Diceros bicornis minor: one gene and its partners. The protein of the gene in region 3 interacts with the protein of the main gene of each other region in a biochemical or structural test. Links are inferred from orthologs where the notes say so. Each region holds a gene or a part of one and is shown on either strand. Other genes may lie near its edges.

Region 1 (7,619 bases), on a different chromosome or scaffold from region 3:
AACCTGCTCTGCCTCCAGACATACTGAGGGGCTAGAAACACCATGAGGAACCTGCCAGGTCCCTGCCTGGGAGCTCACGGCCAGCAGGAAAGATGGGCGCTGACTCTACACTTGTGACCAGCACAGAGCGGAAGTAAGGATAGGTCCCCAAGCCCAACAATGTCCCCATCCAGCACATTATTCTCAGTTGGGACCTGGCTGGGACCTGTGGGTTGGCTGGAGCGGGCCTGGGGAGCAGCGTTAAGTGGAACAGTCCTAGTGTCACCTGAGGACCCCGCCCAGCCCTTCTCCCAGCTCATCCCAGCTCCTCCCCTGGTTCCTCTGCCCCAAGTTCCCCTCTTGGACTGGGGGGCCCCAGAGAATGGGGCAGGGTCTGCCGGGACTAGAAATCAAGACTTCTCTTCAGGAGCCTGGACTGAGGGCTTGCTCTAGAAGAGAATGAAGTGGACATCTCGGCCTGGATGTGGACATCTGAGGGCAGAAAGAGCCAAAAAGGCAAATGAGACCCAGAAAGAGAGCTCCAGAGAGGGAAGGATGGAGAAAGAAGCAGCAGAGGGAGGCAGGGGACAGACAGGAGTGGGGGTGGGGGAAACGTAGAGAAAGAAGGAAAAAGAGAAGGAGGCAGGGAGGATGAGGTTCTACTCGCTCTCCTCTCCATCACACCCAACCCCTCCTCCGAGCTGTCTGCACTCTGACCCCGTTTCCTGGCCTTCCGCTCACTCCTCACCCACTCCAGACAGGCCTCCTCACCCTCACTCCACTGAAACAGCTCACACTTAGGGCTCCAATCACTGCCATGTCGCTGAATCCAGAGAACAGTTTACTCCTTATCACACTAATTCTCTTTGCAGCATATAACTCTCCCTCCTTCTAGAGCAATCTTCCCTCTGCATACATGACATCCACCATCCCTCTCCTCTTTACTCTCCTACTTCTCCCGCTCTTGTCCTTTCTCCTGCGCAGGCTCCTCCTCCCTTTCCCTACCCCTAAACCCTGAGGGTCCTCAAGGCTCAGTCCTAGCCCTTCATCTCTCCCTGCTCCGTACTTTCTCAGGATACAACTCCATGCACACCATCACCCTAGGGGTCCCATTTTTGTCTCTTCTCTAAACTCCAGACCCAGACACCTTAGAGTTTCCTCTACATTTGTCACTGGATGTCTCATGGGCACCTAACACTCAACATGGACAAACTGAATTCATCATCTCCCCTCTAAACCTGGAAAGGATGATGAGTTGGAGGGACATCTCAGAAGGCTAAAGAAGGATTGGGTTGAGGCTGAGGCATAGAAAGAGCAGAGCTCTGCCTGGAAACTAAGGAACTTAGCTAAGGACCAAAGGGCCCAGATGGTGCACTGCTGAAGAAAGGGAAGACGAGAGGACCCCACACACCTGGAGTCTGTCCCCGGACTCTGCCCTCAGAATTCCTCAATAGGACCTGTGCAGGGCTCCATGATGGGGACATGTGGAGACCAAGGTCTTCACTGCAGCCTCATTCTTCCACTCCCTCCCCTTCTCTCTCCTCAACCCCTCTCTAGAGACCCTCTCTCCATCACCAGTCTGGGGCCAGGGTGAGGCAGAAGACCATTCTGGAAGGTCAGATCAGGGACGGAGGGCAACGGAACCTCAGCAGAGGACCAGAGCAGCTGGAAAGGGCTGACCCACCTGCCCACCAGGTGCACCAACACCAGGGCTGCCTCTTCTCCCTTGTCCCACATCACGGAGTCCAGACTGGGGGCGTGAGGGGCTCCAGAGGGAGAGGGGAGCTGGGGAGCACAGCCCGCCCCCTCCCTCGTGGAGGAAGGGCACTCTCGGAAATCTGGAGAGGGCGAGAACTTAGAGCTCAGCACTTTCCTCTTTCTGTTTTTCTTCTTGAGGAATTTTTTTCCCTAAGTGCTGATGACTTTACCATTTCTTGGGGGTGGGGGGAGGAGATTTTGGCTTTTGCTCCCCCCACTCCAAATGCCGGACGAAGTCTTGCATTCCACAAGAAGCCAGAGCTTCAGAGTTTCCTAAAGATGAGGTGGCGTCTCCTCCCCTCTCCAGCCCCAGCTCCCTCCCCCCAAGTCTCAAGCCCTCAGTCCTGGCCAAAGAGGCCCAGGCAGGCTGGGAGGAGACCCCAAGCACATTCTTCCTCTCACTGTCATGCTGCAGAAATTAAAGACACATCTTTGGGCTGGGCGCCCGCCAAGCGTTTCAAGTCAAAAAGTAGCAGAGGCGGCCCTGGGCCTCAGCTCTATGCCACGTGTAAAGGATGCTTGGAAACCCTCTGCTCGCAGCTCCGGGGATGGAGGTCCAAAACTGGACATAGGGGCAGTGGCTGTCACATGCCACACACACAAAGCCCACCCACCCCCATCCCAGGGGTCCCTGAACATCCTTCAGAAGCCCATGATGTAGCCGCTTCCAATCCGCACCTCTGAGGCTTAATCTCTTCTTGACGGTGAGAGTAGGACAGTCTGGACAGGGTGCATGTGGGGAGGGGGCTGCAGGGAGGAGTCCTTCTGGCTGTGCAAACTCAGCCAGAAGGGAGGTGGGCAGGTCACACCAACCTTTGCCCCAAGCCTGTGACACCCCACCCCAGACACCCACTCCACATGGTTGACTACTATGGGGGACAGGACCCTTTTCCTCTATTAGGGAGATGGTGCCCCTTGTCTCCCATCCACACTGGAGGGTGCAAGAACTGCCATCTCAGCATCTCAGCCTCCAGTCCTGCCCTGCAGTCGCTGGCACTAGGCGGGGGCAGATCCTGGGCCACAAGTTGCTGCCACATGGTGGGGATAATTGATGAAGGCCTGTCCCTCCATTGCTGTCTCCCGCTTGCCTCTCTGGAAACTCTATATTTTCCCTTTAATTATAGCCCCTGCAGTCTCCCTCCGCTGCCCCGCCCGCACGCTCATCCTGGCTGCCCACGGCCAACGTGGCTCCCTCCCCTTCTGTTCCCTTGGTCTTTTTTTTTCCTTTGCCTTCGTTGCACAAAACCAGCCGGGGGAGGGCGTGGAGAGGGGCGGGGGGAGGCAATGGAATCTTGGATGGTTTGGGGGAGGCGGGACTCCCCGCTTCCACGTTTGCAGCTCTGGAGTGATGGGGGTGGGGAAGCTGTGCGGGAGGGATTCGAGTTGACGGGGATTGCAAAGGGACCCCCATTGCCTTCTCTTGGGCCCACAGATTTTGACAGGACCAGGGGTCTGAGTGGATTGAGGTTGAGGTAGAGCACTGTTGGGAGATTGGGACACGAGGGAGGGAGGACACTGGCTTCTAGAGGCATCTCTCCCAAATACAGACTTCTTGGGGTGCCCACCCCCTTTCAGGGTACATATGATTCTCTCCTGGTTCCGGGGGCAGAGAGAAATGCCCTGGGTTTTCAGGAAAGAGGTGGGGCAGTGGGAAACATTCTCTAAAACAAGGTCACTCACCCTCCCATGCAAGTCCATCCCAAACCCCCAAAGGCAAATCTCCCCCAGACACCCAAATTCTCCCGTATACCCCCAACCCTGAGTCCAGGTACAACCAGAGAGGGGGCCTTATGCAGCACCCAGAGGGAGAACCCTCTCTCTGGTCAAGTGCCCTCCACCGGAGCTTGACTATTCTGGGTAGAAGAGTCTCTAAAAAGGCCCTGGCCACCAAGCACACCCTAACACGAGACCCCTTTCTAAGTCATCAGTGATCATAGCCCTCCGTGCAAAGTCACTTCCCCTGGGGTGGAAGAGTCCCAGCAATGCCCCACCAACACCAAAGCTTCCTTCTGGAGAGACCATGTAGCCAAATTCTCACCCGGTACTTCAGCCTCCCCATCTCGTCTCTCTCAGTCATACCTGAAGCTTGAGGGAGAGGACCTGAGTCCGTCTTGGAGCCTCAGGCATGGCAGAAGAATCGACATCCTCAAAATAAAACCCCTCTTGCCAGCACCCCCTCCACAAGTATCTGATTCTTAAGGTCTATAAAGGAATCTCTAACTTGGTCCCCAAATATTCCTAAGCTCCATAACCCAGCCACGCCAGAAGACACCCCAACAGGTACATCTTTTTAATTCCCTGGTCTCCTGTTTTGGAGGGGTTCTCGGCCGGCCTCTTCATATCCATCCCTTAGCTCTTGCCAAGGATGTCAGGAGCGTGCATGAGGCATGGCCAGGAGGACCCTCTCCCAATCACCCCAATCCTTCCACCTTTGGAAGGCTCCCACCCACTCCCCAATTCCAGTTTCTCCAGATTGGGGGTCCCAGGAAGAAAGCTGAAGAGGCGCCCCTACCCACTCTTTAGGCCACACTATGTTGAGGACCTAGATGCACCCCAGCGGCAGCATCTCTGGCCCAGGCTGGACTGGGGGGCTGGGGAGGCAGAGCTGCGAAGGGGGGAGATGTGTGGTGGACTCCCTTCCCTTCCCTTCCCTCCTCCTCCCCTTCTCGGTTCCAACTCCCAAATTGGGGGCCGGGCCAGGCAGCTCTGATTGGCTGGGGGACGGGCAGCCGGCTCCCCCTCTCCCAGGGGCAGGGTTCCTCCCCGCTCTCCATCAAGATGGTATAAAAGGGGCCCGGGCCGGTCATCGGAGCAGACGGGAGTTTCTCCTCGGGGTCGGAGCAGGAGGCACGCGGAGTGTGAGGCCACGCATGAGCGGACGCTAACCCCCACCCCAGCCGCAAAGAGTCTACATGTCTAGGGTCTAGACATGTTCAGCTTTGTGGACCTCCGGCTCCTGCTCCTCTTAGCGGCCACCGCCCTCCTGACGCACGGCCAAGAGGAGGGCCAAGAAGAAGACAGTAAGTCCCAAACTTTTGAGAGTCCAGGGCTACTTGGTGTCTTGCCCTGCGTTCGGTCCCGGGGGTCTGCGACCTAAACTGAGACTGGGGATGCTCCGGAGATTCAGGGATGGAAGGGAGATGGTTAGGGCTCTTCCTCGCGCCCTGGGAGAGAAGGGCGAGCACCCTGGGTGGGGAGTGTAGAGGAACGTCCCCCAGAAGTGGGAGAGGAGGATGGAGCTCGGCCTGAGTTGGCACAGGAGGGAGTCTCGAGCGCGCACTGCGGCGTACAACAGGGAAAATGGGGATCTGGGCGCGGGTGGGGGGCAAGTACGTCGAAGATGGGATGGGGTCGCCGAGCTGGGAATTTGGAGCCCAAGATGTAAAAGCGGTCGGGAAGGCTGTGGGATGATTCACAGGGAAAGATTGTTTGCCCTCTCTGCGGGCTAGACAGTGTTCCTGGGGCCGCGGGGGTGCTAGGCTGAGGGGGGAGGGGGCGCGGAGTGTGGGCGGGTTGGAGGTTGAGAAACTTTGGCGCGACTTGGCAGGGCGGGTCCTTGCGCCCCCTGCTGATCAACACTGAGCACCGTGCCTCCCTGTCCAGGGCTTCCCGCCGTAGGAGCTGGAGAGAGAAAACGGAGGTTATTGCCGGGTGTGGACCCCACCTCTAGACCTAGAAAATAAAGCTGGAGACCGGGTAGCCCCTGTCTCTAACGGAAGCGGCCAGGCCCGGGAAATTGCTTAGTGTTGCCCGCCACCTAGTGGCCATCTGGAGAGAGGCTCGCGCGGTGGGCGTGGTTAACTAACTTCATTGCTATTTGCGGACTTTTGGTTCTTTGGCTAAAGAGGGACCCAGAGGCACTGGTTGGCTTTGGAAAACGGGGGTCGTTCCTGAGAGAGGACTTTTGAGATGTCTGGGAGCTGGAGATTAGGGCGTATCCTACTTTTGGGGTACATTTCAAGTCTCTGGGCGGGACGCCACGCCAATCAGCCCCTCCCCATCCTCCTAGCTCCGCCCACGCCATCCCACCTGCTCAGGGAATGGGGCCGAATGGGGGCTGGACCTGCCATCTCTCCTCCCACCCTCTCCTCCTGTCTCCACCCAAACCACGCCCCACAGTCCTGCCCTCTTGAAAGGGCCCCCCCTTCTCCTCCCCACTCCGCCACCCCCCACTCCCCCACCCAGTGGCTTTTTATTTCACTTGGCTTCAGCGCCAATGGGCTGAGGTTGGAGTTGGAAGCAACCCCGGCCTAAAGCTTTGTTTAAATTCCTGAGAACTGGAAAGAGTTATAGCCGCGCTGGCCAGGGGCCTCGACACTGTCACGGGCCCTGATGAGGAGCAGACGAACTTTTAAGGATTTAGGGAAAAAGAAAAAAAAAAAAAAAAGGAGGAGGCGAGAAATGGAAAATCTAAATGTGTCTCTAAGACAGAGAGGAAGGGCAGATAGGGTTGGGGTCCCTGGAGCCCCAAGGTGGGAGGCTCGGGCGTCGCTGACAGCCCCGCTCTTCCCCTCTTGCCCCAGTCCCAGCAGTCACCTGCATACAGAACGGCCTCAGGTACCACGACGGAGCCGTATGGAAACCCGAGCCCTGCCGGGTCTGTGTCTGCGACAATGGCAACGTATTGTGCGATGAGGTGATCTGCGAAGACACCAAGAACTGTCCCGGAGCCTCTGTCCCCCCGGACGAGTGCTGCCCCGTCTGCCCTGAAGGCCAGGGTACGCTCGCTAGGGGCCTGGGGCGGGCGGAGGGCGGGGCCGTCGGGGCACCGGAGCCCACCCTGCCTCTAACCCGCGTCTCTTCTCCCCCCAGTGTCACCTACGGACGAACAAACCACAGGAGTAGAGGTAATCCTCTACCCTCGACTTTTGCCACCCTGCCCGTGACTCCTCACGGTCCTCCCTTCTCTAACCCAGCTTCTGTTTCTTTTCCCCCAACCCCATAGGGACCCAAAGGAGACACTGGCCCCCGAGGCCCAAGGGTAAGCTTCGCCCTCTCTGGGCTGTTGGGGGCTGGAGGTTGGTGTGGCTCCTGACCTGAGCTCACCCAGGCGCCCTCTCCCCCTTCAGGGACCCGCAGGCCCCCCTGGCCGAGATGGCATCCCCGGACAGCCTGGACTTCCCGGACCCCCCGGGCCTCCCGGACCTCCCGGACCCCCTGGCCTCGGAGGAGTAAGTGCAGAGCGAGATGCTTGTGGAAAGCCTGGTGTGCTCCCCTCCCCTCTCTGTGTTGTTGTTGTTGTTGTTGTTGTTTTTGGCGGCTGGCATTCTTTATATTTTGAAATAATTTCAAACTTACAGAAAAGTTGCAAGAGCAATGCAAAGAACTCTCATATACCCTTCACAGTTTGTCACATTTGCTTTATCAGTCTCTGTCTATGCATACATATAATTATCATAATTTTTTTTCTGAACCGTTTGAGAGTAAGTTGTTGCTATTATGTCCCTTTGCTCCTAAAAACTTCAGTATTTCCTGAGAACAAGAACATTCTCTTACATGATCATAGCACACGATTACATTTAGGAAATTTAACATTGGAACAATACTATTGTCTAATATACAATCCATATTCAAATTTTACCAATGTCCCAAAGATGTCCTCTATAGCATTTTTTTTCCTGATCCAGGATCCAATCTGGGGTCATGAATTGCATTTAATTGTCATGTCTCTTTAGTCTCCTTTAATCTGGAACATTCCTCAGACTTTCTTTGTCTGTCACAACCCTGAGATTTTTTGAAGAGGCCAGTTGTTTTGTAGACTGTCACTCAGTTTGGGTTTGTCAGATGTGTCATAATTAGATTTGGGCGGTGCGTCTTTGGCAGGAATATTTCCCAAGTGATGTTGTTGTTCTTCTCAGTGCATCACATGATGAGGCATACAA
Region 2 (7,447 bases), on a different chromosome or scaffold from region 3:
ATGTGGCGCCTGAGTTAGCTTTGGCAGCTCTATTTGAAGGCTGGGGATGTTGACCTCCATCCTTTGGGTAGGGAACACTAGTGATTTTCCCAGGATGGGAGGCCAAAAGAGGTTAACAAAATGAAGACAGTAAAGTTTCCTAAAGTTGGTCTAAATAGGATTAGGCAACATGGCCTAATGAACTTTGAGGGGAGTGGTGGAGACCAAAGCCAGACTGAGCAGGTTGAAGAGTGACTAGGAGAGGCAGTGGGAACAGCATGAAGAGATAAGTCTTTTTAAAAGTCTGGTTGTGAAAGGAGCATTTTCAGGAAGGCATATGTGGTCACACAATTTTTTTTTCACAGATGAGACATTCTAGAGCATGTTTGGATACTGATGAAAATTATCCAGTGGGAAGGATCATGAAGGGTCAGATCCTCCTTCTCAGAAAGGCCATCCTTGACCACCTGAAAACATATATGCTGCTAGAGGTCCTCTAGCAGATTAGGACAAAGCCATCTTCCTGAGTCCACCCTCTCCCTAACTTGACTCCCTCATTCTTCCTCAATTTAAGATACTCCAAAGTGGAAGAGTGGATATTGAACAGAAGTTGGCTGATGCGATTGAGATTGAATACACCCAAAGCACTTGATAAATGTATCCAAAGATTACGGAGAAATCAATATGTCAGACCCATAACCATGTCTTCATTCCGCATTTTCTCCCAATTTGAGCTCTCATTTCCAAGAAGAGTTGGGCTTTGGGAAATTCTATGGATCAGGATATGATTTAAAAAACAAACACAAAAACTCTATAAAGTATATCCCATAAAGAGTTAAATTAAACTTTTTGAAGAGTTCTTAGAAAGTGGAGCAAGCTGGGGTATCAATGGTATGAAAATAAGAAAATTTCCATTTATATCACCCTTTAATTAAGTTACCTTTAATGATGTTATGTTGTTATGTTTCATAGCATATAGCTGCTGAGACCCACCTTTGGAGCAGATAGCCCAAAGAAATATCCCAAGAGAGAATAATTTTTTCTTTTTCTTTTGAAAAAATTTCCCCCCAAATTTCTTTTATTCAACTCCAGGGCTGATATGGCAACGGGGTATAATACAGTTTATTTGTTGACCAAGAAATATTAAACAAATCTTTTTAGTAAGAAAAGTATTTTTATATTCTAGGCCAAATGTAGAGATATATATACCAAAGCAAGTGTATTTTATTAATAATGAGTTTTTTTTTTTTTTTTAACACTGTGGTGTGTGTATATGTATGCAAGCCTGTGTGTTTGAAAGAAAAGACTCAATTGTTGGTGAAATGCAAACTGCTTATCCATTTCCCACTGAGAACAGCTCTAAAAGGATGTTTTTCCTTTCCCTGGTCATTTCAGTGCACTGGAAACAAGAACTATTTCCATGGAAAGAAAGAGTAAATGCCTTCCCTTCAAAAAGCTTATGAAAGACTTTTTTCCCCCATAGGTTGGTGAAGACATATGTTAATCTTGTTGCAGAGAAATCTGTTCTAACTCTCAGGTGTGACCCACTGAATCAGCTCATAGTGTTCCGGGTCCTGTTCTCCACAGGCTAAAACAGAATTATGCATCCTTGCACCCCCATACACAACCATTCCCACAGAAATCTCTTGGTACAATCTTCTGCTCTGTGTTTTCTTTGATATTTCTTTGAATGGCTCCACTAAATTCAAATGTATTTGACTCCAATTTAAAGTACAACTGTAAAATTTTATCTGGCAATTTATAAATTGAATTGCAAGTATCTATACATTGTTTATATGAAGAACTACTAGCATAATGCATGATTCCATTTATATGAAATGTTCAAAATAGGCAAATCAGAGATGGAATGTAGATTAGTGATTGCCAGGGGCTGGGCAGGGATGGGGGAGTGAGTGGGAGCTGGAGGTGACAGCTAAGGGGTGTGGAGTTTCTTTTTAGGGTAATGAAAATGTTCTAAAATGTATTGTGGTGATGGTTGCATAACTGAATATACTGAAAACCACTGAATTGTGTGCTGTAAATGGGTGAACTGCATTGTATATAAATTATATGTCAATAAAGCGGTCAAAAAAAAGAACTATAAGGACATGCTTAGAATATTTTAAAGAAGGTTTAAACAAAGTTCAAAAAAAGAGAAGAGCACCAGATTCCTTCTTGGAAAACCCTGGTTTAAATCCTGGTTTCTTCACTTCCTGGATTTGGGAGTTTGGTCAATAGGAAAACAACACGATTTTCGTAAGTATGGATTTCCTTGTCTATAAAATAGGGATGTTCTACCCTACCTGTTGCACTGGCTAAATGAACTTGGGTTATTAAAAGACACACACATGTGTGTATGTACTTTTAAAAATTTGCCTGGCCTACCTAAAGCACGAAGTGAATATTTGTTGAATTATTTTTGCATACATCACTTGGCCAATCGATGCCTGTGGTTTCTCCAGGCATACAAAGCAAACCTATATGTATGGAAGGTCTTACTTAAGCCAGAGCCCACAGGGAACTGGTGAATACAACTCCAGACCAGTCAGAGAATGTAGTCAAGGAGAGATTTCATTGTTTGCATCTGAACGTGAGGAGCATATGACACCTTAACAAAAATGATCTAAATTAATCCAACTGAGAACCAGGTAAAGAGACTAACCACTTTTCGGATTGTTAACTATATGAGCTATTTTTTCAACTAAAATAACCAACCCTTGGGCTTCATCTTTTTGATTTAAAAAGCCATTCATTATTTTCTCGGCCCATTCATCTCCAGTGTTCACAGGGAAACTAAATTTATTTCTTGAATTCCTCAATCTTATATTTAGATTTCAAACTGGGAATCTCATGAATCAAAAGTTAAATTAAACTAGTTGCCCATAAAGCCATCATGTCTCTATTTTTATACGTTGCTAGGAAAAAAATACTGATTAAAAAAAAAAAACAACTTGAAGTCTTACCTGATTTCAGAAATAAAAGCAGTAGAAGAACCACTTCCTTATGGTCCATTTTGGAACTGGCCAGCGGTGTCCAGAAAACAGCGTGTCCCAGTCCCAAGATGTTATTGACTTACATGAAAGGAAATGCATCCACAAACAAGATAATCACATATAGTTAATTATTCTCTTAGAAGCCTATTGCCACTGAGCACTGAGGGTTCAAACATTACCTTGACTGGAGGATCTTACAAAATGTTTGAGAGCAGAATTTGCAATAGATGCTGGGAAGTGGTGAAAGCGGGCCCTGCCCCCTCGGCGGCCCCGTGCTGCCTTCTTCTCTCTTTAGTCCTCACCTTACTCCCAGTCCATCATCATTCTTAGTCTTGTTTTCTTCTCTCTTCTTTCATTCTCTTTTTTTTTTTTTTTTTGCTTAGGATGATTAGCCTTGAGCTAACATCTGTTGCCAATCTTCCTCGTTTTTTTTGCTTGAGGAAGATTAGCCCTGAGCTAACATCTGTGCCAATTTTCTCTACTTTGTATGTGGTTCGCTGCCACATCGTGGCTGATGAGTGGCATATGTCTGTGCCCAGGATCTGAACCAGTGAACCTGGGCTGCCAAAGCAGAACCCGCTGAACTTAACCACTATGCCATGGGGCTGGCCTCTCATTCTCTTTCTTTTGGGTAAAAAAAAAAATCACAATAGCTCTCATTTGCTGAGAACTTTCCTTTGCCAGACACTCTGCTAAGTGGTGCATAGGCATAGTTACATCCAACCTTTAAAACAAGCAATATTATTATCGTCCCCATTTTAGATGAGGCGACTCAAGCTAAGCAAGTTTATCTTTCCAAGGTTACTTAGCTAACAAGGGGTGAAATAACACATATAAGCTAAGGCATTGTTGTTAACATCCCCACATCCTACTAGTGTAGAAATTACAACATAAGTGAAAATATTTTATTATTATCAAAATTTCTTTATGCCTGGTGGACTCACGTGTTTTCTGTGATTATAAATTACATTACAAAATTATCGATCTTTTCCCCAAATGAATTCACAGTGCATTAGATTGTCATCCTCGTGAAATAAAGCAAGAGTGGTAAAATTAAGTTTAAAGAGTCTGTCTTGATCTTAATTGTTGAGTCTGTACATTTCCCTGGCTTAAGGCTAGTATGACCAGGTAGTAAATGCTTTAAAACCGCTATTTCAGTGTTCAAAAATATTTAGGAATAGCTAAATTGACTCTATCTAAATGTGAAATAAGAACGAGAAATTCTTCTCTCTCCAGCTATGGAACTCCTTCCTATAAACTAGCAAAGTATAAAGGAGGGCACCATATCGTTTTCGGTGGTACCTCCTGCAGAATTCCCTGGGATGGAAGGACAGTCATGTGTCACTTAATGATGGGGATATGTTCAGAGAAATGCATCCCTAGGCGATTTTGTCATTGTGTGAACATCACAGAGAGTACTTACACCAACCTAGATGATACAGCCTGTTACACACCTAGGCTCTATGGTACTAATCTTATGGGACCACCATCATATATGCAGTCCATCGTTGACCGAAACGTCCTTATGTGGTGCAATGTTCTGTACTGTGTAGAATTCTCAAGAACAAAACGTGCTGGAGAACAAGAAGTTGGTGCTACTGTGAGGGGCAGGGATGACCTAATTATATTTCCTAATTTTCTACTTGATCTTAGCTTTCTTCTCTCAAACTCTGTCTTCCTGTCTCCTCTCCCTCTCACCTAGTGGCCGAGTGTATTAAAGGGGACACAAGGTGCAGGCAAGTTGAGAAATCAGCATTGGGCAGACATTTTTTCTTAAAATATCTGAAATGTCTCTTAGGGGGATTATGTTGGTGTATTTGAGAAAGTACTTTGGGGAAAAAACAGACTCTACTAATATATAATGTTTCCAGTCTGCATTTATTTCCATTTAAAATAGTTTAGCACTGCCTCGCAGATAAGGCATTTCAGGAACAATATTATCAGAAATTCTATTACCACATAATTTTCTTTTTCCTGTTTTATTTTTTTTCTTATTTGGGTGGTGGTGGTATGCCTTTTGCTCCCTTTTCTCCTGGAATCTTCTAGAATGCTTTTGATTCTACCAATGTTATTTTCTAAATCAGGTTGCCCTCCTCTGGCCTTCTGACTATACATTCTTCACCACGTTCATAATATATCAGCATCATGAGAGCACAGATAAACACGAAGCAGGGTTTTGCTCTTGTGCCACCAGATACTGTAGTGTGTAAAGAGAAGAGCAAAGAGGAATGTATTGTTCACATGCAGACAGGGGGGTGCACAGAGACTTCCATTGCGTCACAGCACTACATGGTTTAGCTTCATAGGTACAGGGTAGGCATAAAGCAATGGACTATTCTAGATCACGCATAGGAATCCCACAACAACACTCTTAGAGGGACATCGGATAGTGGTTTTGCTCAAGGCTGTAAAGACAATTCATTCAAAATAAGTCTTTTTCTACTTCAAAGAACGGCAGAAACTCAGGAAGGAGATAAAGAGAGATCATCTTTGCCTACTATTAGCAGGTTGAATAAATTCTGAGATGTGCATCTTTATTGAGTCCAATTCATTAAGTATTTACTGACCACCTACTGTGTGTTAGATTCATTTAGGACTATATAAAAGGTAAAATAAATAAAAATTAAAAAGTTACAAATTACAGTCTCCTCCATCCCCCAGCCTCCACCTAAAAGAACTCCAGGAAATTTTTTATCTAAGATTACTGGAGGCTTCTGCTGCATTGTAGCCAGAGACAAGGACGTCAAAATATGATGGAAGAGGGATCGAATTTCTTAGCTCTGCCCAGCAGGGCGCCTGCAACCAAGATCCACTCAGGTTCCTTTAGGAAGGGAAGAATTAGCTAGTTCCTCCCCTCTAGGCATTAAAATGGTGAATTCCTCGCAAGCACTTTACCAGGAAAGCCACAAACACCAGGAAAGTTCAACCTCACCAGGCGAGAGAGGTAGAGTGCCCCCTTCAGTCTCGCCTGCACCCACCTTGCCTGAAGTGGAAGCTGTGGCCAGGTCACAATTTCCCAGGTGACATGCTTTCATACCGCGTGGACCCTGTCTTGCAGATCTGACATTTACATCTGTCACCTTTCTGCACCGACGTTCCACCTTCCTCCAGCCCCAGCAGAGCTCCTCCCCACCCAGGCTCTGCCACCCTGGAACGGTCATTCTAAGACAGCTCATTTCTTTACCAGGAGCATCTCTGAATATCCCCAATAAGACCATGTCATTTCAAAAGGAAAACAGCGGAAAAAATAATCTATTAAGAGTTCAAACGAAGTATGCCTTCATTGTTGCAAGGGTTCTTAGCACGTTTATCTTTGCCCTTGATGTCAGTTTACAGATTGCTTTCACTCTGTTAGTTTATCAGGGCGTATCACCCAGGACACACGCTCTCATTAATCTGAAGGTGCCTTTCATGTCTTCATTTGACCTTTTTCTCAGGTCTGTTAGCCTTTGTTCCTCAGTCTCTGGGGCTGTGGAATGAGACCGTTATCGGCCCGAGCTCCCGTGAGGAGATAGCAGGCTGCTCAGTTAGCACAGGGGTTAAAATGTAACCCGCCCAGAGCACTTTCCAGGTGAGACCTAAGTCAGTGGTCAGCGAGCTGTATTTTCTTCACTGGCTTGTGCTTGCGGAAATTGAGATGTTTATTCAGTTTTGGAAAAAAAAAAAGAGCCTTCATTGGATATTTCCTCGTCAGACTCGTAAGATGCTCGAGAAAAACAGTAACAGAGAAGGTAGTAATTCCTGGATAGTTTACCAGCCTGCCCTGAGGCAGCACGAGGACTCCCCAGAGACCCAGGCAAGCGTACTTTCTGCTCCGAGGTCCAGATTCACTGCGGAAAAACAGAGAAACCAAATCATCCTTTCCATCTCGAAAATTCATTACTCTCAAAGTTAATTAAGACAAAAAATTTTTTCACAGTATTTCGGAGAGACATGTAGAAAACACTAAAATCTTTTAAGAAAAAAATAATGAGTACAGGTAAAAACTGGTGAAATCTGAGCAACGTCTGTGGGCTAGCTCATTACTGCACCAATGGCAACTTCCTGGTATTGATAATGAACTACAGTTATGTCAGATGTTCCCTTTGGGGGAGGCTGGGTGGCTGGGTGATGGGTACACTGGACTTCTCGGTACTATTTTTGTAACTTCTTGTGTGTTTATAATTATTTCAAAATAAAAAGTAAAAATACATATGTCTATATACGTATATATTTGTATATACATGTATATATGTGTGTGTATGTGTATATTTGGATATGTGTGTCTATATTTGGATATATACGTATATATTTAACGTATATGTTTATGCATATATTTAAATATATTTACAGAACTTTCAAAGTACAGAAACTTGTCCAGGGAGAATCTAAAGTTATAGAACTTCTAAATCGGGGAGTGGAACTCAGGCTTTGACTCAGGCCCCCCCCCTCCGCCTCCACCCCTCCCCCAGGCCGGACAGTCAGTAAGGCCTGAT
Region 3 (7,323 bases):
AAAGTTCCCAAGAGATGGATATAAAGACACAGTAAAGTAGGAAGCAATGCTCACTCTTACCCATCAGCAGTAAATAGTGTTTGGGACTGGAGTGGCCAGTGGGCAAAGGAACAGGGAGGAGAGAGAACAGGGCAACTTATCTGGAAAGCACTTTAATCATGTAAGTGAAGAGTCTTTAAAACATTTTTATCCCATGACCTAGTATTATGTTTCTTATCCTAAATAAATCAGAAGAGGCTCAAGCAAAGTCTGAGTGAAAGGCAATCCAGACAGAGAAAAAAGAGCTGCATTGGTTATGATGTTTGTGGCTCTAAGTAACAGAAAACAATAAATTGGCTTAAATAATAAGCACATGTCCGAAGAAATCCAGAGGTACAATGGCCTTTAGGGTTGGTGGATTTAGCTGCTCAAAAATGTGGTTAACATACCATGGAAGATGGTTCTTTCCACTCTCTGCTCTTCCTTCTCCAACACTGCTCTCATGCTAAGTTTGGTTCCCCTAGTGGCCAACAGCACCAGACAGCGCTTAGCAGCATTCTTGTTCATGTCCAGATGAAGACGGAGAAAGTCTGATTTCACATGACTCTTTCTTAAAAGCAAGAAAGAACTTTTCCCAGCAGCTTTCAGCAAACCTCTCACTGGCCAGAATTGGGTCACATGGTAATTCACAAATCAATTACTAGCAGGGAAGGGAGGGTGGGAGGTGGAGAAGGTAGCTACCCTTAAACCAATAGTCCTACCCCTTCCCACTAAGATCAATTCCCTGAGAATATTGGTTCAATTCTGTGGGGAAGGGTGCAATGTTTGGGAGGCAATCACCTCGTCTACCCCAAGAGCTAAGGCATAACTGCATGAGATGGCAGCGCTGGTAGGGATATGGTGAGTAGTCTAGTCCCTCTATGCTAAAAACTGACTTAAGCATAAAGCGATTTGGAAATTCAAATATTAGAGCTCTTCCCAGGCCCAAGCCTTTGGGTACGTACAATCTAGTCCTTACACATGAGAAAATAAAACTGATTTTGAAAAACTAACTAGTAAAAAGTGTAAGATGATGAATTATGTGGTGGAGATAATGCGTGCTTCAAAATTTCACAGAAAGAAGAAACAAGGCAACATAAAGCCACTGGAGAACATCTCATGGAGGAGGGGGAGCTTGAGTTGGTATCTGACTGAAGGATAAGAAAAATCTGTCAGGAACTCCCTTTGGCTCTGACCGTCGAGGTAGCTAAACTAAAACAACTTTGAACCACCATCTAGGGAAAATATTCAGAGGGAATGAAATTATGATGTCGTCCTTTTAGAGATACTACAATTTGGGACTATTCTAGAATACGATGAATTTCGGTTTCTGCTCACTTCTAAGAAATTTTCCACGGCTAAACATTTCCAACATTTTTTAAAATTGCTACAGAAAATCACAGCCCACCTTGCTGTTTTTTGCTGGATAAACAAATTTTTTTTCTCCATTATCTTGCTCTTCTTAATCACATTCCATTTTTAAACTGGCTGTTGCTGACAGTCCTTTCCTCCTATTTATTGGCAAAGTTTTTAGCTCAATCCCACATCCAATTAAGGGAACTTGGAAAAAGGAAATCCTACAGCGAAATGCCATATGCCTTAAAATTTTATTTTAAATACATAATCTCGAAGGTGTCAACGTGGCAAAGAGAGAACTGGACCCGCTCCCTGGAAGGCCCATCACTTGGGTCCATGTCAGATGACCGGCCTGAAATCTCAGCTCTTGTATGTTGAGGACACACACATACAAGAAAGACTCTATCCCCTGCATGAAAGGTGTAGGTTTTCTTTCCCCTTTTCCCATCCCTGCTTTTCTCAAAGCTTCCCAGAGGTATTTAGGTTTCTGGGGAATATTTTAAGCATATATTGATGCTCGGCAGGAATATGGATGATTCCTAACAGCTGCCCGGACACGTCCTCACTGTGATCCTTCCTTTCTACCAGAACAACGGGATTACCGGGGTTTGGGGAAGGCCTTTGTGTTTGAAGTCAATAACTTCTGTACCTCTGTCAGCTTTCTGACAGGAAAGCTCTTCCCTGCCACCATATAGGTCACCTTCCTATTTGTAAAGCATGTAGAAAGTTAAAATTCCCCTTTTTTTCGTTGAAAGAAGCCAATTTCCAAGGAAACTCTAAAGGGATTCCTACAGTCCCTTGGTCAGGAAGCGGCAAGCCTGGAGGGGCATTCCAGTGGGATTCTACTCTATCCATATGGCTAAGCCTAGGCAAGAGGATCTTTCTATAAAAGGAGAGACGTATCCTGCTTTTGTGGGTCTCTTGTGGACCTCGAGCCCTCAGCGGGTCTGTATAAAATCAACAAGTGGGCCAGAGGAGCAGGGCCATCAGGTGACCACCATTCTGAAAACTGTACCTAAGTAACTGGCATTACTAGTAGCAAGTGAAAAAAAAAAATCACCGTTCAAGGGAGCAAACAGGATGCTAGAGAAGGAGAAGGAAGGGGAGGGACATGCGTGGCTGCTGATTCTGGAATCTTCAGATCTGTTTGGATGAATCATTCCTATGAGTTCCACGACAGGAATCTGATTTGACTACTCATCCGATAGAGACATTTATTTCTGTCTCTCAACATGTGAAATCTATCTGTCAGGTTTAGCTATTACTTAAGCAACAAACACACATGTGTCTTAGGAACATACTTGTCATCTTCTAGAGGTATTTGACGTATATGAAGCAACTAGAAAACACTCACCCGGAATCCACACACACACACATGCACTTTGTCACACGACACTCCCACACAAGAAAAGTGAAATTGCTGTGTAATGAATGTAAAACGGTGGGTGTTTCCCGCAGGTAGGAGCCCTGCCAGGTGGGAGAGCTAAGAAGGCAGGTGAACCCCAGGGCTTTCCCCCGGCCTGTGGCTGACATCCTTATTTGGTGAAGCCACTACCTGCGCCCTGTGTCTCAGGGCCAGCCTGATCGTGCCGGACCACAGCAGGGGAAGTGTGGCTGCTGACGTCTCAGCCCAAAGAGATGAATGGAATTCCAGGCAGCTGGAGTCATGCTGGCTTGGGACAGTGGCTTGGAGACCAGATTTCCAATGACAGAAGCATTAAGCGGCAGCGCTCGTGGCAACTGGTGCACCCACAGAAATGTAACCCACACCTCGGTTTCAGGAGCCGAAAAATGAAAAGAACGTTTAGGGAGGGAAAAAAAAGGAAATAAAATGATAGGCAGAGGGTAATTTATTACTCTATGGGTCTGTTCTGTAAATAGTTTAAGACCCTGGAGCCAGATGGTTCTGCAAATTCTCCAACCAGGAGTCACGTTAAGAAGCACGAGTGGGCACAAAAACTGTTTTTCAAGACACAATGTCAATTTTGGCTTGAGGGAACTGGATACGAGTAAGTTTTCTTAACATTCCTGACTAGAAAGAAGCTGTCCTCTCTCGTCCCCTTGATCAGAATACGCATACCGCCCCCAAGCGGCAAGCCGTGGAAGCGCGGTAGCCATTGGGAGCAGCGGTCTTCGTGGAGACCTGGGAGACAGGCAGCCGCAGAAAAGTGCCCCGACGGGCTGCGGGGACGCGAGCTCTGTCCCCCGCCCTGCAGGCCGGCACGACACCGCACTCGCCTCCCTCAGTGGGTCAGGCGGAGGGCAGGCGTGGGGCGAGGGCGGGTGCGCGGCGCGAAGCCGGGCGCGTGGTCCCCCACCCGGAGGGACGGATGGATGAGGGTCAACGAGTATGAAGAGGGACCTTCTTTAACGACTGGTTCTCTCTTGGTCCCATTTACCCCGGCGGGCTCATTTGTTTTTCACCAAAGGACTTGGTCTCCAAGTATCCACCCCTCAGCCATCCTCTAGGCATTCAAGGAGACGGGTTTGCCTGAAAGGCCCTCTCAGGGTCTTGGGTGGCTGGCCAAAGCTCCGCTGCTGCTTGGGATGCTCACACCGACCGCCTCGGGACCGCGTGGCGCAAGAGCCAAAGTACTGAGCCCGCGTGCGCCACGGCTGCGTGGGCGGGCACCTATTTTTCTGAGAAGTTCCAGGGCTCCTGGGCCCCGACCCCGACCGCCCCCCCTTCACTTTCTAGCTGGAAAGTTGTGCGCCAGGCAGCGGGGGGCGGAGAGAGGAACCCAGACTGGCCCCCCTCCCGCTTCCTGCCCGGCCGCCTCCCATTGGCCAGAGGAATCTCCAGGAATGTGAGCGGCCCTTTAAAAGCGCGCGGCTCCTCCGCCTCGCCAGCCACAGCACCCGAGCCGGCCGGCGAGTGTGGTCTCCCGTGAGCTCACCCCGCAGCCTCCGACTCCGGTCGCTGCTGCCCGGGCGCACCGCCCTCCCTGCGCTCTCCCGGACTCGGCGCCCGCCGCTGCGCCCTCGCCGCCACTCCCGGCCGCTGACTTGTGTGCACACAGGTAAGGGGTCTCTGGGCGCTTGCCGAGGACCAATGCTGCCCTGGCCACCTACCTCGGGCTCCGAGGCTTCAGCCCGCCAGGGGCCCCGGATCTCACACTTTTTACCTTCCCCATCCTGTCCCTCCCAGACACTGGAGCACTCTTTTCGAGGAAGGGCTCCAGAGCCATCCTCTCCAGCCTTGGAGTTAACAAACCAACTCTCAGGACACCCCAAGATTTTCTTCTATTCTCCAAGTCCTCCCTAAACCTTCCTATCAGTCCTCCAGAAGAGTCGCTACTTCCCCGTGCCCTCCCTGCGCCCCCACCCACATCTCCTGGTCCTCGACTTCCCGAGGAAAAGCCCTTAGGCTGCTGGTCTTTGCGGTCCCCCCACTTTAAAACCGCAATCTCCTCCCCTCAACTCTCCCATTTTCTTTCGGATGCTCTCTCCAAAGTAAATACTATTGTCCCCTTATCCCAGCAAATGTGGGACCAAAGAGGGATCCCCAGAGCCCTGGTCCCAAGCCCACTCCCCAGTTTTTGCCCACCCTCCTTGCTTGGCTGCCTCTGACCCTGGGCTCTGTGCTTCCTGCTGCAGGATCCCTGCTGGGCACAAACAGCTCCACCATGGGGCTGCCCTGGGCACTCAGTGTCCTGTTCCTGTTACATGTGTGTGGCTCCAACCACATTCCAGGTGAGTCTGTATAATACCTTTTGGGGGAGAAGGAAGAGGAGGAGTTGCTGGTTACCCCAGCTGTGTCTCCCTCCCATGCTCTCCTCTCCCAGCTGTTTCTCCCCGAGCCCTGATTCAACATCAGGATGCAGGTTCCCTGCAACTGTGGTGTTTATTCATCTCTTTCAGTGATTGCCATTTTCACCCTGTCCCTCTGACCCCACCCCTCAGAGCTGAGCCCCTCCCCTCTGGCCCCAGCCTAGAAGGCTCACTGCCTGTCTTGCTCCTGTGCAACAGAGTCTGGAGGAGACAACAGCGTGTTCGACATCTTTGAACTCACGGGCGCTGCCCGCAAGGGCTCTGGGCGCCGACTGGTGAAGGGTCCTGATCCTTCCAGCCCAGCTTTCCGCATCGAGGATGCCAACCTGATCCCCCCTGTGCCTGATGACAAGTTCCAAGACCTAGTGGATGCTGTGCGGGCCGAGAAAGGTTTCCTCCTGCTGGCCTCCCTGAGGCAGATGAAGAAGACTCGGGGCACACTGCTGGCCGTGGAGCGGAAAGACCACTCTGGCCAGATCTTCAGCGTGGTCTCCAATGGCAAGGCGGGCACCCTTGACCTTAGCCTGACCGTGCAGGGCAAGCAGCATGTGGTGTCCGTGGAAGAAGCGCTCCTGGCGACTGGCCAGTGGAAGAGTATCACCCTGTTTGTGCAGGAGGACAGGGCCCAGCTGTACATCGACTGTGAGAAGATGGAGAATGCTGAGCTGGACGTCCCCATCCAAAGCATCTTCACCAGGGACCTAGCCAGCATCGCCAGACTCCGCATCGCAAAAGGAGGTGTCAATGACAATTTCCAGGTGAGGTCCCCTCCTCCGATTCCTAGTCCATGGGGTCACTGCTAGCCAGCTGATCTGTCAGGAGGGCTATAGCAGGAGAGGCAGGGGTTCCAGTACAGGAAATACTGCTTGTGGACTAAAGCGGTGTTTCTCAAACTTTAGAGAGCACCAGAATCACCTCGAGGGCTTCTTAAACCGCATACTGCTGCACATACACACACACCAAGTTTCCGATTCAGTAGGTCTGGAGTGGGGCCTGATAATTTGCATTTCTAACAAGTTCCAGGTGAGGCTGGTGCTGGTTTTCTGGGGACCACACTTTGAAAACCACCAAAGGAAACAAGAAATAGTTTTCCTATAACAGCCTGTTCCAGCTTTAGATACTCTCTATCCTCTTCTTAGGAAAATAACTTATTTCAAATGCATTCCACCAACTGTAATATTGCTTGACATGGATGGATACTTTGCATGAGCTGAATAAATACCACTTTGCTATTTGATTCCTCACGGGGATGTGGTGGGTTTCAAAAGGTTAAAATAGTGAATACTCACTGCTGCAGCTTTTTCCCTCCTTACACTTCTAGCTCTTTGCAACTGTGGCTTTGAAACTCCCACATTTAACTCTTTGTCATCAAATCCTCCGGCCTTAGTGTCAGATTCCATTTCCTCTGTTCTCAGTAGGCTGATAACTGAGTTCTTTGTGAAATACTGAAGACTTGGCAGAAGACACAGTTAAGATTTTAAAGTTGTTTGGCAATTTATCTTGGTGTATTATTTTGACTTGGTGATCTTAAAGGGAGCTCTTTCAAACTTGTGGAACATCTGTTGTGTGCTTTTCCTAACATAAACAGTCTCCCCCACCCATTCACACCACCCCCCCCCCCACACACACACACACACTCTACAAGTAATGTGTGTCCTCTGCCCACAGGGGGTGCTGCAGAACGTGAGGTTTGTCTTCGGAACCACACCAGAGGACATCCTCAGGAACAAAGGCTGCTCCAGCTGTGAGTGTTCTGCTATTTTTAGGGACTATAGGGAAATCAGGGGGAATTGCACCCAAAACAAGCTGAGAAATTTAAGCAACGGAGGTTGTGTATAAATTACCCCAAGGAACATAGTTAAGAGGTGTACAAAAGTGACCTCAAAGGGCATTACCCTCTCTCTCTCTCCCTCCCTCCCCCTCTCCCCTCTCCCCTCTCCCTCCCTACTTGCCCCTCCCTCCCCACTTGCATCTCTTGCCCCAAATGAAATCTTTTGGGAACTCGAGGGGCAGGCTGGGGAGAGCATCTCTTTGAAGATATTCCATCACTTTTCTCATTGTGTTTCTTTATTTGGCAGCTGCCAATGTCCTTCTCACCCTCGACAACAATGTGGTGAATGGTTCCAGCCCTGCCATCCGCACTAACTACATTGGCCACAAGACAAAGGATCTGCAAGC

The links.
Region 1: the proteins of THBS1 (region 3) and COL1A1 form a complex in vitro, tested with the Homo sapiens proteins (2 studies listed by BioGRID). The link is inferred for Diceros bicornis minor from reciprocal best matches to the Homo sapiens genes THBS1 and COL1A1.
Region 2: the proteins of THBS1 (region 3) and plasminogen-like form a complex in vitro, tested with the Homo sapiens proteins (2 studies listed by BioGRID). The link is inferred for Diceros bicornis minor from reciprocal best matches to the Homo sapiens genes THBS1 and PLG.

What each region holds. Positions count from the first base shown.
Region 1 is NC_080757.1:36,084,764-36,092,382, forward strand, and holds the start of COL1A1 (collagen alpha-1(I) chain), read left to right. Parts: upstream 1-4,558; 5' UTR 4,559-4,666; coding exon 4,667-4,757; intron 4,758-6,260; coding exon 6,261-6,455; intron 6,456-6,549; coding exon 6,550-6,584; intron 6,585-6,682; coding exon 6,683-6,718; intron 6,719-6,806; coding exon 6,807-6,908; intron 6,909-7,619. UniProt on the Homo sapiens protein: Type I collagen is a member of group I collagen (fibrillar forming collagen).
Region 2 is NC_080778.1:9,496,558-9,504,004, reverse strand, and holds the start of plasminogen-like, read right to left. Parts: upstream 3,083-7,447; 5' UTR 2,992-3,082; coding exon 2,943-2,991; intron 1-2,942. UniProt on the Homo sapiens protein: Plasmin dissolves the fibrin of blood clots and acts as a proteolytic factor in a variety of other processes including embryonic development, tissue remodeling, tumor invasion, and inflammation. In ovulation, weakens the walls of the Graafian follicle.
Region 3 is NC_080744.1:37,518,659-37,525,981, forward strand, and holds the start of THBS1 (thrombospondin-1), read left to right. Parts: upstream 1-4,234; 5' UTR 4,235-4,394; intron 4,395-4,971; 5' UTR 4,972-5,000; coding exon 5,001-5,067; intron 5,068-5,343; coding exon 5,344-5,903; intron 5,904-6,813; coding exon 6,814-6,889; intron 6,890-7,223; coding exon 7,224-7,323. UniProt on the Homo sapiens protein: Adhesive glycoprotein that mediates cell-to-cell and cell-to-matrix interactions.